Oryzias latipes: one gene and its partners. The main gene of each other region encodes a partner of the protein of the gene in region 2 in a complex. Links are inferred from orthologs where the notes say so. Each region holds a gene or a part of one and is shown on either strand. Other genes may lie near its edges.

What was found. Proteins that work in one complex are often made in the same cells at the same time.
Region 1: the proteins of ywhag (region 2) and cftr are in contact, whole or in part, in a crystal structure (PDB 5D3E), measured with the Homo sapiens proteins. The link is inferred for Oryzias latipes from reciprocal best matches to the Homo sapiens genes YWHAG and CFTR. Residues at the interface, in NP_036611.2 of Homo sapiens: Lys50, Arg57, Arg61, Lys125, Arg132, Tyr133, Leu177, Asn178, Val181, Glu185, Ile222, Leu225, Asn229, Leu232; in NP_000483.3 of Homo sapiens: Arg766, Gln767, Ser768, Val769, Leu770.
Region 3: the proteins of ywhag (region 2) and calcium/calmodulin-dependent protein kinase kinase 2 are in contact, whole or in part, in a crystal structure (PDB 6Y6B), measured with the Homo sapiens proteins. The link is inferred for Oryzias latipes from reciprocal best matches to the Homo sapiens genes YWHAG and CAMKK2. Residues at the interface, in NP_036611.2 of Homo sapiens: Ser46, Val47, Lys50, Asn51, Arg57, Arg132, Tyr133, Gly174, Leu177, Asn178, Val181, Glu185, Ile222, Leu225, Asn229, Trp233; in NP_001257414.1 of Homo sapiens: Leu99, Ser100, Leu101, Gln102, Glu103, Arg104.
Region 4: the proteins of ywhag (region 2) and casp2 are in contact, whole or in part, in a crystal structure (PDB 6S9K), measured with the Homo sapiens proteins. The link is inferred for Oryzias latipes from reciprocal best matches to the Homo sapiens genes YWHAG and CASP2. Residues at the interface, in NP_036611.2 of Homo sapiens: Glu15, Asn43, Val47, Arg57, Arg61, Lys125, Arg132, Tyr133, Pro170, Gly174, Leu177, Asn178, Val181, Glu185, Glu213, Asp214, Lys217, Asp218, Leu221, Ile222, Leu225, Asn229, Leu232, Trp233; in NP_116764.2 of Homo sapiens: Asp137, Leu138, Ser139, Leu140, Pro141, Phe142, Pro143, Val144, Cys145, Glu146, Leu150, Lys152, Lys153, Leu154, Ser157.

Annotation. Positions count from the first base shown.
Region 1 is NC_019864.2:3,359,752-3,362,787, forward strand, and holds the end of cftr (cystic fibrosis transmembrane conductance regulator), read left to right. Parts: intron 1-295; coding exon 296-401; intron 402-2,026; coding exon 2,027-2,239; 3' UTR 2,240-2,536; downstream 2,537-3,036. UniProt on the Homo sapiens protein: Epithelial ion channel that plays an important role in the regulation of epithelial ion and water transport and fluid homeostasis. Mediates the transport of chloride ions across the cell membrane.
Region 2 is NC_019871.2:9,989,402-9,993,632, reverse strand, and holds the start of ywhag (14-3-3 protein gamma), read left to right. Parts: upstream 1-1,431; 5' UTR 1,432-1,588; coding exon 1,589-1,675; intron 1,676-4,231. UniProt on the Homo sapiens protein: Adapter protein implicated in the regulation of a large spectrum of both general and specialized signaling pathways. Binds to a large number of partners, usually by recognition of a phosphoserine or phosphothreonine motif.
Region 3 is NC_019870.2:16,114,568-16,118,067, reverse strand, and holds part of calcium/calmodulin-dependent protein kinase kinase 2, read left to right. Parts: intron 1-204; coding exon 205-258; intron 259-1,821; coding exon 1,822-1,873; intron 1,874-1,975; coding exon 1,976-2,109; intron 2,110-2,314; coding exon 2,315-2,351; intron 2,352-2,466; coding exon 2,467-2,488; intron 2,489-2,577; coding exon 2,578-2,666; intron 2,667-3,500. UniProt on the Homo sapiens protein: Calcium/calmodulin-dependent protein kinase belonging to a proposed calcium-triggered signaling cascade involved in a number of cellular processes. Isoform 1, isoform 2 and isoform 3 phosphorylate CAMK1 and CAMK4. Isoform 3 phosphorylates CAMK1D.
Region 4 is NC_019874.2:20,112,259-20,115,022, forward strand, and holds part of casp2 (caspase-2), read left to right. Parts: intron 1-199; coding exon 200-266; intron 267-576; coding exon 577-668; intron 669-758; coding exon 759-941; intron 942-1,266; coding exon 1,267-1,395; intron 1,396-1,491; coding exon 1,492-1,582; intron 1,583-1,841; coding exon 1,842-2,042; intron 2,043-2,764. UniProt on the Homo sapiens protein: Is a regulator of the cascade of caspases responsible for apoptosis execution. Might function by either activating some proteins required for cell death or inactivating proteins necessary for cell survival.

The DNA.
Region 1 (3,036 bases), on a different chromosome or scaffold from region 2:
GAAAGTTCATTTAGGCCTCTTCGAATGGAGACCAGGATGTGTTGGAGTTTCAGTGCAGATCACTAAACATAAGTTTACACTCACATGTACAGCCTGGTTGCATGTTTTGGTTTCAAACATATTTAATAAAATACAAAGATGACCCTGCAGATTCCAGTGCACCTGGTGACAATCTAGTCCTTCCAGGAACTTGGAGCTCTTTGTTTGTGAAGTGTGTGAGCAGAGATGTTAAATGATTCTTCTAATGTCTGATGTGTCCGTGGCCTTCCGTATTGATGTGTGTGTATGTGAACAGAACTCTGGTGATCCTGAGGAAGACCCTAAAGCAGTCCTTCTCCAACTGCACCGTCATCCTGTCGGAGCACAGAGTGGAGCCTCTGCTGGAGTGTCAGTCGTTCCTTGTGAGTCTCTGACAGATGATCTCCACGCTTCTTTTCAGAGACGTGATTATTATTTCTCTTTTTTTAATAGAGACTTAGGATGATCGTGCTTCTTTTTTTAGAGATACGGGATATTCACGCTGCTTTTTTTAGATGATAGATAGATAGATAGATAGATAGATAGGTAGATAGGTAGATAGGTAGGTAGGTAGGTAGGTAGGTAGGTAGGTAGGTAGGTAGGTAGGTAGGTAGGTAGGTAGGTAGGTAGGTAGGTAGGTAGGTAGGTAGGTAGGTAGGTAGGTAGGTAGGTAGGTAGGTAGGTAGGTAGGTAGGTAGGTAGGTAGGTAGGTAGGTAGGTAGGTAGGTAGGTAGGTAGGTAGGTAGGTAGGTAGATAGATAGATAGATAGATAGATAGATAGATAGATAGATAGATAGATAGATAGATAGATAGATAGATAGATAGATAGATAGATAGATAGATAGATAGATAGATAGATAGATAGATAGATAGATAGATAGATAGATAGATAGATAGATAGATAGATAGATAGATAGATAGATAGATAGATAGATAGATAGATGGGGAAATTTCATATATCTGTGGCAGCAAAAAAACGACATTCAGAAATAATCTAATAATAATAAAATATATACAAAAAATAGGTGGTCAACTGCAAATGCCTGATTCCTTATGCAACCCGCCGTTGTCGATTTTTTTTTTATTGTAAATTGTACAAATTGTAGAAACAGCAACAACTGCAACAAAATAACAATTTATAGAGATCTAGAGTGATCGCTTCTCTGCTTTTAGTAAAGATTAAGGATTATCGCTCCACTTTTTAGTGTAGAACTGCAGGATGATCACTCTGTTTCATTTCATAGCAATACAGGATGATAACTTCATGTGATACAGATCTAGGATGATCACTCTGCTTTATTTTATAGAAATGAAAGATGATTACTCTGCTTCTTTTTTTAGTAATCTAAAATGATCATTCCACTTCTTATTAGAGATGCAGGATGATCACTTTTTTATTTTTATAGAAATGCGGGATGATTAATCTGCTTAATTTTAGAGATCTAGGATCAGCTTTATCTTAGGGATATGATAACTCAGGTTCTTTTGTATAAAGTTTCAGGATAATCAATGTGCTTCTTTGCGTAGAGATGAAGGATGATCACTTTTCTTCTTTTTATGTTGATCTAGGATGATCACTCTGCTTCTTTATAGTGATGCAGAAAATCCATGAGCCACATTTTAAATATCTGTGATTATAGAACGAGAATCAACATGAACCACCCCCATGTTTTAGGTGTAGACATGTGTTTGTTTGGGATGGGGGCCGAGCTGCCGGTAGGGGATTACCCAGGACTTGAAGTGACATGGATCCATGAGAGTCAACAGATTTGATCAAAACAAGAAATGCTCTGTCAAACTCAATTGCTGCATGTTTCCTATGCTTAATGGGCAAATAAGAAAGCCATGTAGACAATCTCTAAGCATCAATAACAACAAATTGATTCACTGAATCAGTTATTATTGCATTATTCTTAGCCACAGCTGGCAAGTTAATAAAAGCAAATGGTTGACACAAGTGTATCCTTTCCTGAGGTAAACAGCTTCTCATGCCTCCCTCCTCTGCAGATGGTCGAGAATGGTGCCTTGAAAAACTATGAGTCCATTCAGAAACTCATGAGTGAGGTGGCCCACCTGAGACAGGCTATAAGCCCTGCAGACCAGCACCGTTTCCCAATGCTCCACCGTCTCAACTCCACCAAGAGGCCCCTGCCACAGACCACCAAGATCTCCTCACTGCCAGAGGAAGCTGAGGATGAAGTTCAGGACACCCGACTCTGAGAAGCCAGCTGGAAACACATCCATAGACGAGCAACAGGGCTTTGAACCTTTTTATAATTTGGGATTATTTTTAAAGCACTAGTTGTTAAAAAGGACAAATGTGAGCAACAGGTGTTGCTTTTGTTCAGCTGTAGATTTCTTTTTGAATGGAATCACATGAGCCTAAACAAACACAGAAGTGATGACAGTGCATTTTTGTGTAAAATGACTTATCAATGTTTGCCTTCAGATTATATCAGGTGTGTACAGAAAGAAGTTGAAGGCTGTAAATAAAAGTGAAACGTTTGCAAAACTTCAGTTGGTGCTCACAGATTTCTGTGAATGTCAGGTACATAAAGCACATCTGAGCTCAACCATCTGAAGTTCTGTGGATTTAGACGACTTGCTGTTGAAACACTTCACTTACTTTTTGCAAACTGACAGTGGATTCATTTTTTTCTCATACTTGCTCCTTTTTTAGTTATTTTTATAAGAGAGGTTTGGTTGGTTTTGAGTCCACAAAATGGTAAGACAGAAAGTGAACATGAGCGCTGGAGCGTGAGTGGGACGTTACCCATAGAAAATGGTTTAGTTCTGCCATCTTTTTGTGATACGGATGTTGGAACCAGACAGCGTCAGTCATTGTGTCCATGGAACCACTCTCACCAATCAGGAGTGACCTTGTTGGAAGGCCACACCCCTACCACTTGAAATCAGTGGCGGACCGTGTATTACACACCTGGGCCTTCAGTCGTGCTCCGTCTGAATCACTCAACCCCTCATGAACCATTTTACGATGCAGAAACGAGCTTTACATT
Region 2 (4,231 bases):
CACAAGCTCCCTGCTCTGCGCTATTGCAATGCATCTACTTGCAGACGAATACATCCATTGACTTTTACTTTTTTTCTCGTCTGAGATGGAATCTGGCAAGAGACGGTACGGCTGAATAGCTCCAATATTGCTCGCCATTTTTGTTGCACCGCTAGCGTTAGCTTGGGGTTGTAAGTTAGTGGGAGAAGTGTAACCACACCCAACACCGAGCAAACTTCTAATGAACCACTGCCACTCTGCAGAAACTATGTCCTAGAAACGGACACAGAATTTTTTTTTTTAATTATTTTGCCCCAAAACAGTATAATGATAATTAAAAAAACACTGGAAATTTTTTTTTAAATAGATTAAAAATGACTGGAGTGGGACTTTAAAGCTTGAATGCTGACAAACACATGATACTATGAGCAAAAAAGGCAAAGGTCGCCTTTTAATTAAACCTTGTCTATGTAACAGAATTAACATCTAGTTTCAAGACTTTGACTTTTGTTCAAGTTAACCCATAGCTGTGTTCAGCTTCAAAACTATAGTGGGGGTAAAAAAGCAGTTTCTTCCTCAAGATCAGGATGTTTCAGCAAAATATAAAATCACCATGAGAAAAAAGTTATTCTGATTTAGTTCAAATTCAGAACTCAAATGAAAAACAAAACCCAAAAGAAATTGCCAACAATATTTAAATAATCGGAAAGTGGCGTGAGATTCTGGCAAAGCCTCCCCATGGCGCGGTGGCAGTTGTATTTGTGAATGTAGCATTACTGGCATTGTTCCAACACTTCTACGGCTGTACAGTAATCCCCCGCCCATTCGCGGTTTAATATTCGCGCCCCGCCCATTCGCGGGTGGCCACAGATGACGTGACGTCAGAAGCATGAGGCACAGAACAGCGCTCAGTCCGCAAATTTTGAAAAACGATTTACTCTGTACTTTACTGTAAAGTATTGTTTACGCGTTTAAGATGCCATCCAAACACCCTGCATCATCTCCAGCTTCTGGAAATGAACCCAAACGGCAGAAAAAGGTTCTGACTCTGCAGAGGCTCTGGCTCTGGGAGTTTTAAAACAGCGTCAATCATTCGCGGATTTTTGTTATTCGCAGGGGGTGAGGAACGTAACCCCCGCGAATACGGGGGGATTACTGTATAGCAAAAAAACTGATTGGATTTCTTTGGAACCGGAAGCAAGTAATTTGCTCTAAGTAACATCACACTTCCTATACAGTCAATGGTTTGGAAACAAAGGGGGCTTTCGGAAAGCTGAAGCCCTGGAAATCACAGCCGTTTTACACGGCCATGCCCACAAGCCTGGCCCACTATCCCCCATGTACGGAGCGTTACATCATTGGCACAGACACCCACCTTCCCGAGTGATGACGCAGCCCATGGAGGAGAAGCAGGAGGAGGAGGAATGTGAGAGGGTGGGGGTGAGGAGAGGGTGTCCCGTCTGCGCGCAGCTCAGTCAGACAGCAGAGAGCAGCTGCAGCAGAAGGCTCGTGTTAAGTTTCACTGCATTGCGATTTCAAATATCGATTATTTTACCCACATAAGCCACCCGAATAAGCTTGACTAGGCAACCAAATATCATAGAAGAAAATGGTTGATCGCGAGCAGCTGGTGCAGAAAGCCAGGCTGGCTGAACAGGCTGAGCGGTATGATGACATGGCAGCTGCTATGAAGTCGGTAAGTCACTTTCCAGAGAGGATGAAAATCGTGTGAGTGATGGTGAGTCTGCTGCGTCTGCGTAAAAACGCGCCACGGCTGTAAATCTGCGCGCACGCTGGCTCAATTTTACCGGCGCACTGATCCAAAAAATTCGAATTTAATCATAATTTGCTCCACAGTTGAGGCAATGTTGACACCTCACGTCCTCTTTTTTTTGGAAAATTATTTTTCATTTTTTACTCAGCAGTCGGGTCCAGACTTTCCGGTGTTTGGGCGGTGCCTCTGTCGGTTGTACATTTTATTGAAAGGGTATTAGAATGAAATGCATGCAAGCCCCACTATGCATCATCTGCCGCTCATCATATAATGGCCTTGCTCACTTCCATTAACTGCCCCCCCCCCCCCCTCTTGTAGTACCCCACCTCCTCTCCCTCCATTATGTTGAATTCATACAGTTGGAGCCTCTGCTACATCATGTGAGCTGCCTCCACCCCCATCCCCCATTCTCTTATACTTATCACTTAAATTATAACGATAATAATTACCCACAACTGCTCATGTTGATACAAGGCTTAAGGGCATTATCTGAGCATGATCACCTCAGGAAAAAGCCTCTCTAATCCTTCATTTCATCAAATAGGAGGCAGCACTAGAATATCTGCTGTCATATTGCAGAGACTTATTTCTATCCCAGACGTTTTAGACTCTCGTCTGTGCTCGTGTCCGTCCTGAGTGTGTCAGGGCTGAAATCCAGGGGCGATTTAAAGTTATTTCAGGGGGACGACCCTGATTGAGCAGTGCAATATATGATGGGAAGAGGATGACATGGCTGGCTTGCCACACATTAGCTCTCTCAGCTCTTATTGGCTGCTCAGGACTAAGTCTTTGTCTGCTTTTTCTTCCTCTTTCCCCCTCCCTCTCTCCTTTGGGGCCCTTAAGAAATTTTGACACCGGATGCACCGGTGGGCATTAAGAACTGCTGTGTCACACCAGCTCACAGTGAAACCAGCAGCATCCAGACTTGCCAGTCCATGCCCAGATAAAGAGCCCGGCACGGGAGGAACATTGTGTCTTAATGCCCCTGTAGAACATCAGAGCCTATTTGGATCGTTTGCCATGAAGGGTTTCTGGTTGCAGGTGGTGAGGAGGGATTCCTTTGCCTTTCTTGATTCTTTTGAAGAAGAGGTGGGATGGGGTGGCGGTGAGGGGTGCCCTTTTATTCGAAGGGAATCCCTTGCCACTGCATCCACAAATGACAAATGAGAGGCTGTCACCTTCGTGTTCCTCATGAAAAATGCAACGCTGCTCTTCGTGGTTATCAATTAAAGAAATGGCCTTCACAAATCAGCTTCGACCAGCAGCGTGAAACCAGAAAAATCAATCCAATTGTTAAAAAAAAAAAATTTTTTCTTGACACCAGCAAATATTTCCTTCGTCATTCAAATAACGGATGGGCCACTCTTAATGACCTTGTTGTAACCCTTCAATAATGACAATTGAACGCCAAAATGTTTGATGTACGCCGAGCATAGCTGCAGTTCCAGCAGTGATCGCTGCAATCATTAAATTTTAAGTGCTCCTCTGTTCGTGCGCTCTACAAAAATTATTATCAGATCAATATGAATCTGCTTCATTTCATAGCGAAAGCCTCACAGTTGTCGCCTGCGGTCAAATCGGATCATTGCGTGTGCATTTTTGGACAGGCCCTGTGAAGGCAATTCCATCTGTGCCAATTTAGTGACGTCACGTGTGCCATCTTTACGCCCCTCTGACTGAACAGAGAAAAATTGAAAGCGTTGGTATAGTACAGCTGAATATCAGTGTGTCTTTCCTGCATATGTAACAGCCGTTTTTGAAAACTCCATCGATCTATGCCAGCACAGAGCGCCTCTTCCAATCATTTACCCAGAGTGGTATGACCTCTGTGCAGTCATACTGATCCATCCAGATCCAAAATTATCTGTCCGAGTCAGAGTGATGTCACATCACGGAGCTTAAAACAGGTAAAAAGGTCACTTAGAGCCGAAGAGAAGGTCAGTGGGACACGTGCAGTGACAGTTTTCATTTACACTGCAGCTGCCCTTGAGTCCTTGTGGGAACATTTCTGTCTCCATCCTTCTCGTGCCCCCCCCTCACTGGAGCAATCTAAGTACAATATAATTTCTCACTAGCTAGCATTAGATGTACACGTGGCAGCTGGAGCTACTGATGTCTAAATGAATGGATTGCCATGGAAACTAGGAATTGGACAAGCCCAATCTCACTCATTCGCGTCACTGCAGACGACACTGACCGAATGATAGAAGGATGGATCCTTTCTCCGGATGAGCCAAACTAATTGTCATTGTGCAATGATTCCATTGTTTTCTTTCATTGCTTTACAAATGTAGTTTGTGGGCCTCAGGAGAAATTCTTTAAGTGCATCCCTATAGAGTGATTTGCCGTCATTGCAATCAGACTGGAAGGGGAAGATGAGTTAGCTGTTTTATAACAGATTGTTCTTAGCAAATTTATTTCAACAGTTTTTAAAAGATAGAAAAAAGCCTTCCCTTTTTTAATATTTCGTGAAAGATT
Region 3 (3,500 bases), on a different chromosome or scaffold from region 2:
AAAAGCACAAACTGAATAGTTGAAACAGAACAAATTCAAATTTCTCATTTCTTGCTTTAGTAATTGTTCTCTTTTCATTGTGAACCTTCATCCCACTCACATTGCTCATCATTCCGGATTTTGATTTGTCTAAAGTGGGTTTGCTGCTTTTTTATCCTCGTCAGTCTCAGTTGCCGGTCTTTGTTGTTTCCTTTCTCTTCTCAGGGCTCCTATGGTGTTGTGAAGCTGGCTTACAATGAGGATGACAACACATATTATGTGAGTTTCTTTCCCCACACGCACCAGATTAAACGCATCTGTAAAGGTTTGTTCTGTCTCAGGTTTACTTCAGCTATTACACTCCAACATCGCTAACTAATGCTTTAAAGACCCACTCCGACTTTCTTCAGATCAGAGGTCCTAATAAACTGCAGTAGTTTACTAGAAATTTGCCTTACAGTTGTGGGTGGGACCGTTAGTGTGGTGTAACCCCGCCCCTTTTGCTTTTCCCATTGCTGAGAACTCTGTTTACATGTTCTCCTGCTAGCTTACAGCCCCTCACACTCCCAGCCTAATATTACAGGTGCAACAAAAGTAGTGAGCAATATTGGAGCCATCCAGCCGTACAGTTCTGAGCCAGATTCAAGCCCAGAAAAGGAAAACCAAGACGTTCATGGATCTATTTGTCTACAAGAGAGAATGGAGTGGAGTTGGGAGACTTTGGTCCGCCCATCGCAGCTTCTGCTCCTGATTCACAACAACTTAAAGAAAGAAATGCTTAGAAATGAAAGTTTATTTGTTCCTTTCATGAAAATTGATGTCCAAATGTTTACATGTTTGTCTCACATGTTGAACATTTTCATGATTAGAAGGGAGCAGAATTGAAAAATACAATTCTTATAATTATCTGCTCCCTTTTAAACATTGCATCCATCACCTGTGCTCGGATTTCACAATATACAGTTCAAATACACAGTAAACACATTCCATTCATTTAATACATGCATTCCAAACATTCCATTCAACAGTCAAGTTTGTAAAAACTAATTTGTTTGGCTTTATACATCCGTTTAAATTAAATAATATTTTGACAACTTTTTAACTGATTCTCCTGGGAAATAAGAAAAACACCAAAAACATAGTTTTTTATCAGAGTAGGTCTATGTTTTGTGGATTTTTTTTTTCGACTATTCAAATAAATCAACTTCTTAAAATGAAAAATCTCGATAAAGCATACAAAGTGTCTTTTTGCTAGCAATTATAAAACTCCTCACTTAACGCGACACGCAGCCCTATTAAAATCTATCATGCGGCTTTCGTGATTGTTGAGGGAGATGAAGAAGAAGAACTTTGACTAATTGAGTGGATTTCCATGCGGGTTTGATTATTTACCAACTGATGTTAGCTACCGGTATTGTTTCTGCTGAGAGTGCAGACTTAATAACCGTTCAGCTTTTTAATCAGAGCTTTAAATCCCAAAAGCTGGAGACCCACTTTTACAGCCTTTAGGTATTTTTGAAAGACTAAAGATTTGCCTGTTTGCCTTTCTGTTCACCAATGATTGTTTTAAGATTTCCTCTGTTATTTAACCTAAATTCTGGTCACATATTTCCAGGTGTGTTGATTATACTTTTGGGTCAAATCTTCCAAACTAGAGCTGATGGGTGCAACTTTGTCCAACAGGGAATGATGGGAAAAATTGGTGGAAACATTTTGCAGTTTGTCCACAGCCTGAGGCTCATGAAACCAACATTTTAATGGAAACTGAACTGTGACGTTTTGAAAGTCAGTTTTGTTAATTTTCTTTTTCCTGGCTCACTCATTTTCCCCTTTTCTTTGCAGGCGATGAAAGTGTTGTCGAAGAAGAAGCTGATGAGGCAGGCAGGGTTCCCACGTAAGTAAAGGGGCAGATGCATTAAACGCTCCTGAGACACTATGCACACATGCTGAAGGTCACGCTCCTCCCCACCTGTCATCTTGTTGTGACGTTTTTCAGGAAGACCAGCTCCTCGCGGCGCCCGAGCCCTCCCTGAGGGTCCGACTCAGCCCAAAGGCCCGCTCGAGCGGGTTTATCAGGAGATAGCCATTCTCAAAAAACTGGACCATCCTAATGTTGTTAAACTCGTTGAGGTGAGTCATTTAACCATGTTAAAAGCTACCATTTTTGTCCTGTATGTTAAAAAGCTAAAGTGAAAACTTACATTTAATCAATGCAGCCATGCTCTATTTATATATCATCAGAATAACATATTCCTCTGGAGGAATGAACAGGATTGAACAGGATTCTGGGTAGATGTTATTGAGTATTCTCTCTCCCTCTGTGACTCTGTGCCAGGTTTTGGATGACCCCAGTGAAGACCATCTGTACATGGGTATGCTTTGGCTGGACTCTCTGTACTTCAAACTAGACAAATCTTTTTCAAAGACTGCTTTTGAGAAACCAGTGCAACCTCTAACTAACATTCATTTCTTCTGTGTTTTTGTCAGTGTTTGAGTTGGTGAAAAAAGGGTGAGCACAGCCTATCCTGTTGAAGAAATGGTAAAACTGCAATAATACTCCCTCTTGGTAGTTATGATTGCTAACTGATGTTTCTCCAGGGCTGTAATGGAGGTGCCCACCGATAAACCGTTCGGTGAAGACCAGGCCCGTTTTTACTTCCAGGATTTGCTGAGAGGAATCGAGTATTGTGAGTCCATTATGACCCTTTTTGCGCCCAGTCTGTTGATTAAAAGTGGTTTAAATGTGTGATTCATCCTTTTGATGAATCCCTAACAGATCTATACTGGTGGATTTTTAAATCATCTGAGTCACATTTCCGCTGTTTGTGAAAAGAGCTGTGAAAAAACAGTTCCCAGTATTTTTTACATTTATAAACGGGTGTGGTGTGGTAGTTACACACATACAATGAGCCCGCAAAATAATAAACCTGTAGCAGCAAACAGAAGTCATGATGCAGAAGTGGATGTGATTTTAAGAAAATGGTAACTATCTTTTTAACAAGACCGTTAAGTTTTGGCCTGTACATAGAAACACTTCAACTGTATTTTTTTGTATGGAAAGTAAGATTATGATCTTTAACAAAGGTTCACCTCAATATATTGTAATGTAACTGTTTGGTAAGGACAAAGGTAAAAAGTTTCCTGTTGTTCTGAACTGTAGCTTCTATTTAGGCCCATTCTTCCGTGCAGATCTTCTCAAGAGCAGCAATGTTGCTGGGCAACACCGACTTTCCACTCCCTCCACAGATTCTCTATTAGAATGAAGTCCAGGGACTGACTAGACCTCTCCAGAAGCGTGAAATACTTTTTATGTAGCCACTCCATCATTGTCCGGCAACCCGTTTGGCGCTCATTGTCCTGCTGGAATATCCATTGACATTTCAAACTCTATGCTTTCACTGATGGAAGGAGGTTTTTGCTCCAATTTTCTCCATTCATTCTTTTATTAATATGGAACAGTCGATCTTTCTCCTTCGCAGAAAAGCAACACCAAAGCATGATGCTTCCTCTCCCATGTTTTA
Region 4 (2,764 bases), on a different chromosome or scaffold from region 2:
GAATCCCGCTCTGTGTCTGCCTTTTATTCCTCACCCAGTGCGCCTGCTGAGTTGCTGAAAAATCTGACAGTAGATTACTGTAATACATTCAAATGAAAGATCATCACGCCGAAAAACTGCTGCCGCCCTCATCAGACATCAAAACCCTTCTCTACCAGATTAATTTGTTTAATCAGCCATTTTTTGTCTCATCTTTCAGATATCAGGATCTTCTTTGCCATATCCAACTCAGGAGGAGTTTGCTCCGAAGAGAGCAAAGACTCTCGGTGAGTTTCACTGTCATGCGTTCGTTTTTTTAGACATACAGTGGCCTAAAACTGAGCAAAAAAACAAATGTTTTGGAGCCAGCAGCTCCCTGACGATGGGGTCTTTGGGATCCCAACTGGTAACAGACTTTATAGTGTCTCCAATTTTTCAGACTGTAATGAGAAAAGTGCAGGTACTTGTTTGTATTAAGTACAAACACCACACCCCAGGGGTGACTCATTCACAGCCTTCCAGCACAAAGTCTGTGAGCTTCCTAAATAGTAACGTTAATCTGTTCCTTTGTTATGTGTTTGTATGTCTTCACCACAGAGTCCATGGAGTCCAGTCTCGATGCTGACAGTCCCATCAACACCCCCGTTCTGGCATGCTCAGCTGACTTTTACCTGTCTCACTGTCAACAGGTAGATCGCTGACCAGCAGCGGGTTGTTTCATCGTGTTACATTCCCTCACGTTGCTTATTCTCTGCGTGCTTCTGCTCTTCTGACTGAAGTCTTACAGGATGAATTCTTCTCCTCGGGGTTCAGTCTTGGTGATCAGTAACATCAACTTTGACCCCCGTGCTGCCCCTGAGCTTGACCCAAGGAAGGGAGGTGAGGTGGACGACGAGGTCCTCAGGAAGCTCTTCACTGAGCTGGACTATTCAGTAAATTTCCACAGAGACCTGACCGCTCAGGTGAGACTCTCGCAGCATAAATGAGTTGTAAAGTCATATATTTTATCAGTATGCTTTGGTGCAGACATTTAAGTGACGCTGCAAATCTGTCACAAGTTGTAGCTTCAAATATTTAAGTTTTTTGTTTCATTTATTCTTTTTTTTTACCAGTTTGGAGAGAAAAACTAGTTTGGATTGGTTAGGAAAACTTTGACAAGCTTTAACACATTAAATGCTTTTGTGGAGAGTTTTTTTATTTAGTTTTTCTATTAAAAAAAACAGACAATGAAATAGCAGGACTTTTAAGCTCCTGTGTAGCAACTACCATCCTTTATTTTTTCTCCAGGACATGAAGATGGTCATTGAGAACTTCTGCAGACGACCAGATCACCAGAAAGTTGATAGCTGTGTGGTGTGTCTGCTTTCCCACGGCGTGGATGGAGCCATTTATGGCACGGATGGGCAGCAGCTGGCGGTGAGCTTATCTTATATTTTTTGCTGTATGCTTTATGACTTTAAACAGCAAAGAAGCCGCGTTTGTTTATTTTAAATGTAAACTTGTCGTTTTCAGCTGGACTGGGTGTTTGAGGCCTTCGACAACGCACATTGCCCGCTGCTGCAAAACAAACCAAAAATGTTTTTCATTCAGGCCTGCAGAGGAGGTAAAAAAGGAGGATGTTTGCTCAAGATTTGGTAAAGCTTTGTCTTTAACTTGCTGGGATTTATGCTAGAGGAATAGAGTGTTGGAAAACAGATGGATGCAAACATATATGTATTTTTAAAAACTTTCATTCTAGTACTTTCTAGCTTTACTGATTAACATTTTGCCAACTAAAAATTGTGTTCAGCTTGCAAAACTTTTTATTTTTTGCCCATTTTAATTTGGCATTGCCTGAACTTAAGCTTTTTTTATCCTACCAGATGAGATGGACTGTGGCGTGGAGCAGATAGATGGGCCGGCGAGGACCTTTTCGCCAACCTGTGAACAGCGGGATGCTGGGAGGGAGGAGCAGGGGGACGCAGACGGCAGGCAGAGAGCGAGCACAGGGAGGCAAAGGATTAAACTGCCTCAGCGGTCGGACATGATCTGCGGCTTTGCTTCTCTCAAAGGTCAGAGAATTTGTAAGTTGGTCCCATTTGCTATTCAGAGCTTCATTTATTCATGAACTGCGAACCACGTTCATCAAATTGTGATGCAAATCATTTTTACCCAGTAATGAGCACATCAGTTGTGTTTCAGCTAAATAAAAAAAATTGTGATCAAAGAAAACATTTTTCAAACTGTTCTGAAAAGAAATGTCACTTACTGTCTTTATTGTGTTTGAGAATACATCCTAATCTGCCTGTAGGAACATGAACCTCAATACCTGTCAGAACATGATTGTGTGATCTTTTTATAACTGAAAAAGGAGCCAGGAAAGAATAGATTTCTATGTCGACATGTCCTAAAGAGGAAATCTTTTTACAAACATTTCTTCAACGTGAAAAAAAGCTGTTTCTAATTATTGAGATTGTCTTATTTTTTCAATCTATGTAGTCTGAGAATGTTTTAAGTTTATTTTGGTTGGTTTCAAACTTGGGAAAATAAGGTAAAAAGTGAAATTTAAAGTGCTCAGCATAAATGACTACACCCACTTTAATAAGTATTAATTTAATCAGTAACTCAATGAACAAAAGAAAAATTTCCAAACTTTCCACAAGTTATAGTTTTATTGAACACTTCTTTAATTCTATTACATGAAATAAAGGTTAATGATCTATCTTAGATCACATAATCTTCAGTTTTGCTTAAATTGGTTGAAGCAAAAATGAATACACCCTGGAACAAAAACTACTACATCCAG